2 linked regions of the Saccharomyces cerevisiae S288C genome follow. The protein of the gene in region 1 purifies or fractionates together with the protein of each later gene. This does not show direct contact. Each region holds a gene or a part of one and is shown on either strand. Other genes may lie near its edges.

What was found.
Region 2: the proteins of RTK1 (region 1) and AIM2 purify together in Saccharomyces cerevisiae (affinity purification with mass spectrometry, with the first as the bait; one large-scale study listed by BioGRID). This does not show direct contact.

What each region holds. Positions count from the first base shown.
Region 1 is NC_001136.10:404,768-409,434, reverse strand, and holds RTK1 (putative serine/threonine protein kinase RTK1), read left to right. Parts: upstream 1-2,228; coding exon 2,229-4,091; downstream 4,092-4,667. Other genes in the region: putative acid phosphatase DIA3, read left to right, coding at 1-984; MRX9 (Mrx9p), read left to right, coding at 4,478-4,667. UniProt on the Saccharomyces cerevisiae protein: Probable serine/threonine-protein kinase that may be involved in ribosome biogenesis.
Region 2 is NC_001133.9:51,027-54,593, reverse strand, and holds AIM2 (protein AIM2), read left to right. Parts: upstream 1-1,998; coding exon 1,999-2,739; downstream 2,740-3,567. Other genes in the region: ERMES complex Ca(2+)-binding regulatory GTPase GEM1, read left to right, coding at 1-1,793; oleate-activated transcription factor OAF1, read right to left, coding at 2,887-3,567.

The sequences.
Region 1 (4,667 bases):
GGAGAAATGAATGCAAAGAGACATGCAAGGGAGTTTTTAGCAAAATATGGAAAATTGATGGAGAACTGTACCAACTTTCCTATCTTCACCACAAATTCGAAAAGAATCTACGATACTGCGCAATATTTTGCCGAGGCTTTGGGCGATGGCTTTAATATATCACTTCAAACACTTAGCGAAAATTCCTCGTCAGGAGCAAACACATTAGCTGCCAAAAGTTCGTGCCCCAATTGGAATTCGAATGCCAACAATGATATATTAATGTCATATTCGAGGGACTACTTAGAAAATATTTCCGATCGTCTTAATGACGAAAATAAAGGGCTGAACTTGAGCAGGAAAGATGCAGCGGCCTTGTTTTCTTGGTGTGCCTTCGAGTTGAACGCAAAAGGTTATAGTAACATTTGTGACATTTTCTCCGCGGCAGAGTTAATACATTATTCTTATGAGACTGATTTGACGAGCTTCTACCAAAATGGTCCCGGATACAAATTGATTAAATCTATAGGTGCTAATTTGTTCAATGCAACAGTGAAGCTAATACGACAAAGTGCGCACTTGGACCAAAAAGTTTGGCTGAGCTTTACGCACGATACTGATATTCTAAATTATTTGACAACTGCTGGATTGATTGATGACACTAGAAATTTAACAACCAATCATGTTCCCTTTCGTGATCATTCCTACCACAGGTCGTGGTACATTCCTCAGGGAGCTAGAGTCTACACAGAAAAGTTTCAATGCTCAAACGATTCGTACGTCCGTTATGTGGTCAACGATGCTGTGGTTCCTATAGAGAGTTGCTCCAGTGGTCCAGGTTTTTCATGTGAAGAGGGCACATTTTACGAGTATGCCAAAGACAGATTACGAGGTGTGAGCTTCTATGAAGATTGCGACGTCTCCAAAGTTAGCAAAGAAAAGGAATTGACGTTTTACTGGGATTGGAACACAACAAGGTATAACGCATCCTTAGTGAATCAATAAGCCATGCATGGGCAGAAATAAAAAAAAATAGGAAATTGTCTTTACATAACATGGTCACAAAGTAATATTCCGCATCGTTCTTCCTTCAGCAAACCGAAGGGGAGCGAATTGAGCCTTCAAGCTACATCTAAAAGAGATTCCACTAACAAGTTCTGCGGTTATTACATATTTTTGTACTACAGAGAATTTAATTGCACCCGCTTTATCACCCTCGTTATTTATATTCTTTTCTGGAATATTTAGATATGCGTCATTTGATTATTGTTGTTTTTTTTTTTTGTTTTTTTACTTTCATTACATCGCTAAATATAATATAAAAGAGATGAACGGCTATTCTTTCTGAATATCGAAAGTTAAAACTCGGATAGAAAATTCACAAGAACATAAAAGAAAACTTCCGGATTTCAAAGGCGGTTCTGGTATTGGGAAACTTCCACAACATATCTCAAATTCAAACTGAAAAGTCCTCAGTGTCTTTTATTCGAAACTCCGGGAAAGCACTGCTTGAATGGATTAAGTAAACTTGAAATAAATTTTTTACTTCTACAGCTAAAATGTGAAATATAGTGTCCGCTTCCACCAAAGGCGTTTATTTTCTCGAAATGAACCTGTGAATAACACAGCTGGCTCCAACTCAAACACTCAACTGCGTCATTTCTTATTCGCTTTCCAAATCATGCATGATTTTTCTTTCTCTTGCCTGCAGTGCTCGTTTCACCGCTCGCGTACTCGTCCATTCTTTGTCAGCGAAGAGGCTCTAACAGTGGAGAGCACATCTGGCAAGTAAAATGATAGGTTGCGCAAGGGGGTAGGGGAATGACTAATAAAGCATTACTACCATCATACCAAGTTCCCATTCATGTACACATAGTCTCTTTAATTGCCTTCTTGAATGGAGGCCAGTAGATATTTGGAGAAGCTTTTCTTGCAGTTCGGGTAATATCGAACGGCGTACATCTATAAGGGGAAAAGCTACTTCCGCTTCTCATATATCTATTTTGCAGTGTGACTCTTCCTGGCTTGCTAAGTATTGTACCTGTTATGGGGCAAGCAAGATTTCTCATTGAAAAAAGATATAATACTTATTTGCAGCCAATAGTGACGGATTCTAGTGTTCTTCTTTTCCATAAGTTGATTACGCTATTCACCCAAACTGACTCTTTAGTGCGCTAATAAGCTGAGAGGATTTGAGAGGGAAAAAAAGAGAGAAGGACAGAAAAGAGCAGCCTGAAATTCATAGCATAATGGTTAAGGAAACTCCATTACACTCATCTTCATCAACTTCGCTGTCTTCATTATTTAGGCCAACTAAGTTGAAGAATTTATCGGCTAAAATATTCAATGGAGGTGGTAACCAATCATACTCAAAGACAGATGATGTTTCAAGGTCTTCTTCTAGATCTTCAAAAAAGAATACAGATTCTGACCAAGAGGATCAAATAAAGTATAACAAACCCAACGACCGAAGATCTACCATAGGAAAGAGCCCCCAGGGAAATGGCGCGTTGTCAAAGGAGTCACACGTAGTAGCAAGTTCTACTTTGACAGGTATTTCTCCTACTTCAGCTAAAAAAGCTCCTATTGACTACTCTCCTTCACGGCCCTTACCTAACAATCATAATCCCGTTCGTACGGGACACACTGTGCCCCACTTACCCCATAGTATTCACAATCCAATAAACTACATTCATCAAGGCTCAAAAGATGCTTTCCACCATCCTCACCCCGTTCGCTCTACAGCTCATAGCAACATTTCTACAGTGTCTTCTGCAAAATCTGATACACCCTCTTCGAATTTATCATACCAGGCACATATGCATCCCGTAGAGATACTACAGAAACAGATTGAAGACAAACACTTCATGGACTCTCAAGCCTCCACCCCTGGGTCCGTGGAACTACAGCATAATTCTTCAAGCGGTAGTGATGATACCTCATCAAGAAAGAAAAAATCCTTGAGATTAACAAGATTTTTCAAAAAAATTCATAATGATTATCACGATAACCATCATCATCACCACCATCACAACCGTGGATCCACCCCTACAAAACCGAAGCTCAATTTGAACACCAATGAAAATATAGTAGAAAGTAACGGAAAAGCGTTATACGAAACAGATAACCCAGTGGAGCTATTAGAAAAATATGGTATTCCTGGTAGAAAATTAGGCGAAGGAGCTTCCGGTTCAGTGTCCGTAGTAGAAAGAACAGACGGCAAGTTATTTGCTTGCAAAATGTTCAGAAAACCACACTTAAACAATGAAGGAACTAATCAGTCTCAATTAGCTAATTATTCTAAGAAGGTTACCACTGAATTTTGTATTGGTTCCACGCTGCACCACGAAAATATCGTTGAAACCCTAGATATGTTGACTGAAGGTGACACCTATTTATTAGTAATGGAGTATGCGCCATATGATTTTTTTAATCTCGTCATGAGTAACCTAATGACACAAGATGAAGTCAACTGTTACTTCAAGCAGCTGTGCCACGGCGTTAATTACCTGCACTCTATGGGCTTAGCTCATAGGGATTTAAAATTGGACAATTGTGTCGTCACTAAAGATGGCATCTTGAAACTGATTGACTTTGGGAGCGCTGTAGTGTTCCAATACCCTTACGAAGATACCATTGTAAAATCACATGGAATCGTGGGTTCTGACCCTTATTTGGCTCCTGAGTTATTGAAACAAACATCCTACGATCCAAGAGTAGCAGATGTGTGGTCTATCGCTATTATATTTTACTGTATGGTCCTTAAAAGATTTCCTTGGAAGGCTCCAAAAAAGAGCTTCAACTCATTTAGGTTATTTACTGAGGAACCTGAGGACGAAGATGATATAGTTCGGGGGCCAAATAAAATATTAAGGCTACTGCCAAGACATTCACGGACAATAATAGGCAGAATGTTGGCTTTAGAACCAAAGCAAAGAGTTTTAATGAATGACGTGGTAAAGGATGATTGGCTTGTATCCGTCCCCTCCTGTGAAGTTGACCCTACATCTGGCGATTTGGTTGAAAAACCAAAGAATCATAAGCATCACTTGGTCACTGAGGAGGAGTTGAATGAGCTGACCAAGCAACACGGGAATAAAGATTCAAATTAATGAAATAAACACTTTTTAAAAGATAAAACCTAAAAAATTGTATATAGAAGATTCAAAGTACTATAAAAGGCATTATATAGGAATAAAAGATGGTGTGCATACAGGTGAAAAAGAAAACTAGTTAAATCTGGAAAAAAAAAACGCTCATATATATACAAAAACATAAATACATTCGTCAAAACAAAAAGCGCTTAAATAAATAAAAGCATTTTTTAGATAATCTCAACGGGCGCCAAATTGAAGTCACCCGACGCATAAAATTGTGAACACGCCCTATTAGATTTTACAAAGAGGAAGTCTCCTCCCCTATAAACTGCAAAGAATAATTGAAAAGTGATTTAGCGCAGATAAATAAGACCACCATAACCACATATGAGTAGGAAAAAATGTTCAAAGTTCCAGTGGGATTAGCCAGTAGGACAAGGGAGCTTATGAACAGCGTTACGCTCAATAGTCTCAATAATGGAAAGGGTTTCAATATGTACTTGCCAGGAATATTAAGGGCTTTTCCTAAACCAGTGCCTTCGGCGATTACATCTCCCGCAATTCCAAAATATCGAGGAGAAAGTTTCCAGT
Region 2 (3,567 bases), on another chromosome or scaffold:
CGGACCTCATAGCTTTAGACCATGAGTTGAAGTCCGCCGACGTAATTTGGCTTGTGTATTGCGATCACGAATCGTATGACCATGTTTCTCTCTTTTGGTTGCCTCATTTCAGATCCCTGGGGTTGAATATTCCTGTCATTCTCTGCAAAAATAAATGTGATTCCATATCGAATGTTAATGCCAATGCAATGGTCGTGTCAGAGAACAGTGATGATGATATCGATACCAAAGTGGAGGATGAAGAATTTATCCCAATATTAATGGAGTTTAAAGAAATCGACACTTGCATTAAGACAAGTGCCAAGACACAGTTTGATCTTAACCAAGCGTTTTATCTTTGCCAAAGGGCTATAACACACCCAATATCACCTTTATTTGATGCCATGGTAGGTGAACTAAAGCCATTGGCTGTCATGGCTTTAAAAAGAATTTTTCTTTTAAGCGATTTAAACCAGGACTCATATTTAGATGACAACGAAATCTTGGGCTTACAAAAAAAGTGCTTCAATAAGAGTATCGATGTAAACGAACTGAATTTTATTAAAGATTTGCTTTTGGATATTTCCAAGCACGATCAAGAGTACATTAACCGCAAGCTATACGTACCGGGAAAAGGCATCACCAAAGATGGTTTCCTTGTACTGAACAAAATATACGCTGAAAGGGGGAGACACGAAACTACATGGGCTATCCTAAGAACTTTCCATTACACAGATTCCTTGTGTATTAATGACAAAATTCTCCATCCGAGGTTGGTTGTCCCTGACACTTCCAGTGTGGAATTGAGCCCCAAGGGCTACAGATTTCTTGTAGATATTTTTTTGAAGTTTGATATCGACAATGATGGTGGTTTGAATAATCAAGAATTACATCGTCTATTTAAGTGCACACCAGGGCTGCCTAAACTATGGACCTCAACGAATTTCCCCTTCTCCACTGTCGTAAACAACAAGGGTTGCATCACCTTACAAGGCTGGCTAGCACAATGGAGTATGACGACTTTCTTGAACTATAGCACAACTACCGCTTACTTGGTGTATTTTGGCTTTCAGGAAGATGCAAGACTAGCCCTACAAGTAACCAAGCCAAGGAAAATGAGACGCCGTTCCGGGAAACTTTACAGATCCAATATCAATGACAGAAAAGTGTTCAATTGCTTTGTCATTGGAAAGCCATGTTGCGGCAAAAGCTCTTTGCTAGAGGCCTTCTTGGGCAGATCTTTCTCGGAGGAGTATTCTCCGACAATCAAACCAAGAATTGCAGTCAATAGTTTAGAACTCAAAGGTGGGAAACAGTACTATTTGATTTTGCAAGAACTTGGAGAACAGGAATACGCCATACTAGAGAATAAGGATAAGTTAAAAGAATGTGACGTAATCTGTCTAACATACGATTCCAGCGACCCAGAATCATTCTCCTACTTAGTTTCGCTTCTAGACAAATTCACACATTTACAAGATCTACCGTTGGTATTTGTAGCTTCTAAGGCAGATTTGGATAAGCAGCAACAAAGGTGTCAAATCCAACCAGATGAACTGGCAGACGAGCTATTTGTGAACCACCCACTGCACATATCATCCAGATGGCTAAGTTCCCTTAATGAATTGTTTATTAAAATCACAGAAGCTGCTCTTGATCCTGGCAAAAACACTCCGGGATTGCCAGAAGAAACAGCAGCAAAAGATGTCGACTACAGACAAACGGCTCTCATTTTTGGGTCCACTGTTGGATTCGTAGCACTATGTTCCTTTACGTTAATGAAATTATTCAAATCATCAAAATTCTCAAAATAATTAATGCCCAAATTTCTATATTAGGGAAGTGTTGCATTTCTATGATATCTGGCCTAAGGCGGAGCCCTTTTTTTCTTTCCGATAAAAAATGCCAAACCACGCTCATTTGCAAGAAACCTTCAAAGGGTGATAAGGTCTCAAGACTCAGTAGACTTAAAGTTTTCCACTACGTCTAACTACAGCAGAACAAAATTATTTCAATCAAATGGCATCTAATCAACCTGGCAAGTGTTGCTTTGAAGGAGTTTGTCACGATGGAACACCCAAGGGTCGTCGTGAAGAAATCTTCGGTTTAGATACTTATGCAGCAGGCTCTACATCTCCCAAGGAAAAAGTTATAGTTATCTTGACAGATGTGTATGGCAATAAATTCAACAATGTTTTATTAACGGCCGACAAATTTGCTAGTGCTGGGTACATGGTCTTTGTTCCCGATATTTTATTCGGCGATGCTATCTCATCGGACAAACCAATTGATCGTGATGCCTGGTTTCAAAGACATTCTCCTGAAGTCACCAAGAAAATTGTTGATGGATTCATGAAGTTGTTAAAACTTGAATATGACCCAAAGTTTATTGGCGTTGTGGGTTACTGTTTTGGTGCAAAGTTTGCCGTCCAACACATTAGTGGCGACGGGGGTCTTGCCAATGCTGCAGCCATTGCACATCCATCTTTCGTCAGCATCGAGGAAATTGAAGCAATTGATAGCAAGAAACCAATATTGATTTCAGCAGCGGAAGAGGATCACATCTTTCCGGCAAACTTAAGACACTTAACGGAGGAAAAATTAAAGGATAATCACGCTACTTACCAGTTAGACCTCTTCAGTGGTGTGGCTCACGGGTTTGCAGCAAGAGGCGATATATCCATACCTGCCGTAAAATATGCGAAGGAGAAAGTCTTGCTCGACCAAATATACTGGTTCAATCATTTTTCGAATGTTTAAGAGGGAAGAGCTCTTCTTACGTTAACCGTTATATACATATATATATATATTGAGCACTTTATATTATCGGTCAGTTTCATAAATTCGTGGCTATATAATATTAATTAATTGATGAAATGAATAGGTAGGAGTTTGGAAAGAAAATTTTTAAGCAAAGTCATTGCCAAACAAAAAGTCATAATCAAATAAATCCAAACCTCCAAAATAACCTGGAAAAGGAGTATTATTCGCTTGGCCTCTATCGAAACCATTAGGAAGTTGTGATCCAGATGAGTTATCGACAATTGGTGTAGCATTGATTGAATTGTTCAAGTTATTCATCCCGGCTATTGGCGTTTGCTCTTTTGAACCACCACCCGCCAAAGGACCCTGACGTAAACCACTGTTGTAGTCCAAGCTCTGACCAACTGCAGCGGCCGATGATAGTTTTTCTAAATTATCTAAGGATGAACTCCATGTCTTTGTGAAGGTAGGAACAGCATTTCCGAATGGTTCGCCGTTGGTTAAGTCAATTGTGTTTACAGGCGGCTTCAATCCTGAAGAAATTTGAATCTCTTTTTTGATATTACGGTTCAGCTCATCTATATCTTCAACGCTAAAATTCGCAACGTGATTGCATGCCATCAATTCCTCTAATAGCCTATCCTTTTTGTCCAGTTTGACTCCTAAGGTAATGCTTAATGTCTTGATTATCCTAGAATGCATTTGTTCCATTTGAATCATCGTAAATATGCCGTGCCATAATTCACCCTTTCTCATCCTTTGTACAATGACATCGAATAAAGCCAACATCTTAAAAACGGGGAAGTATGTGAATCTTAAATGTTC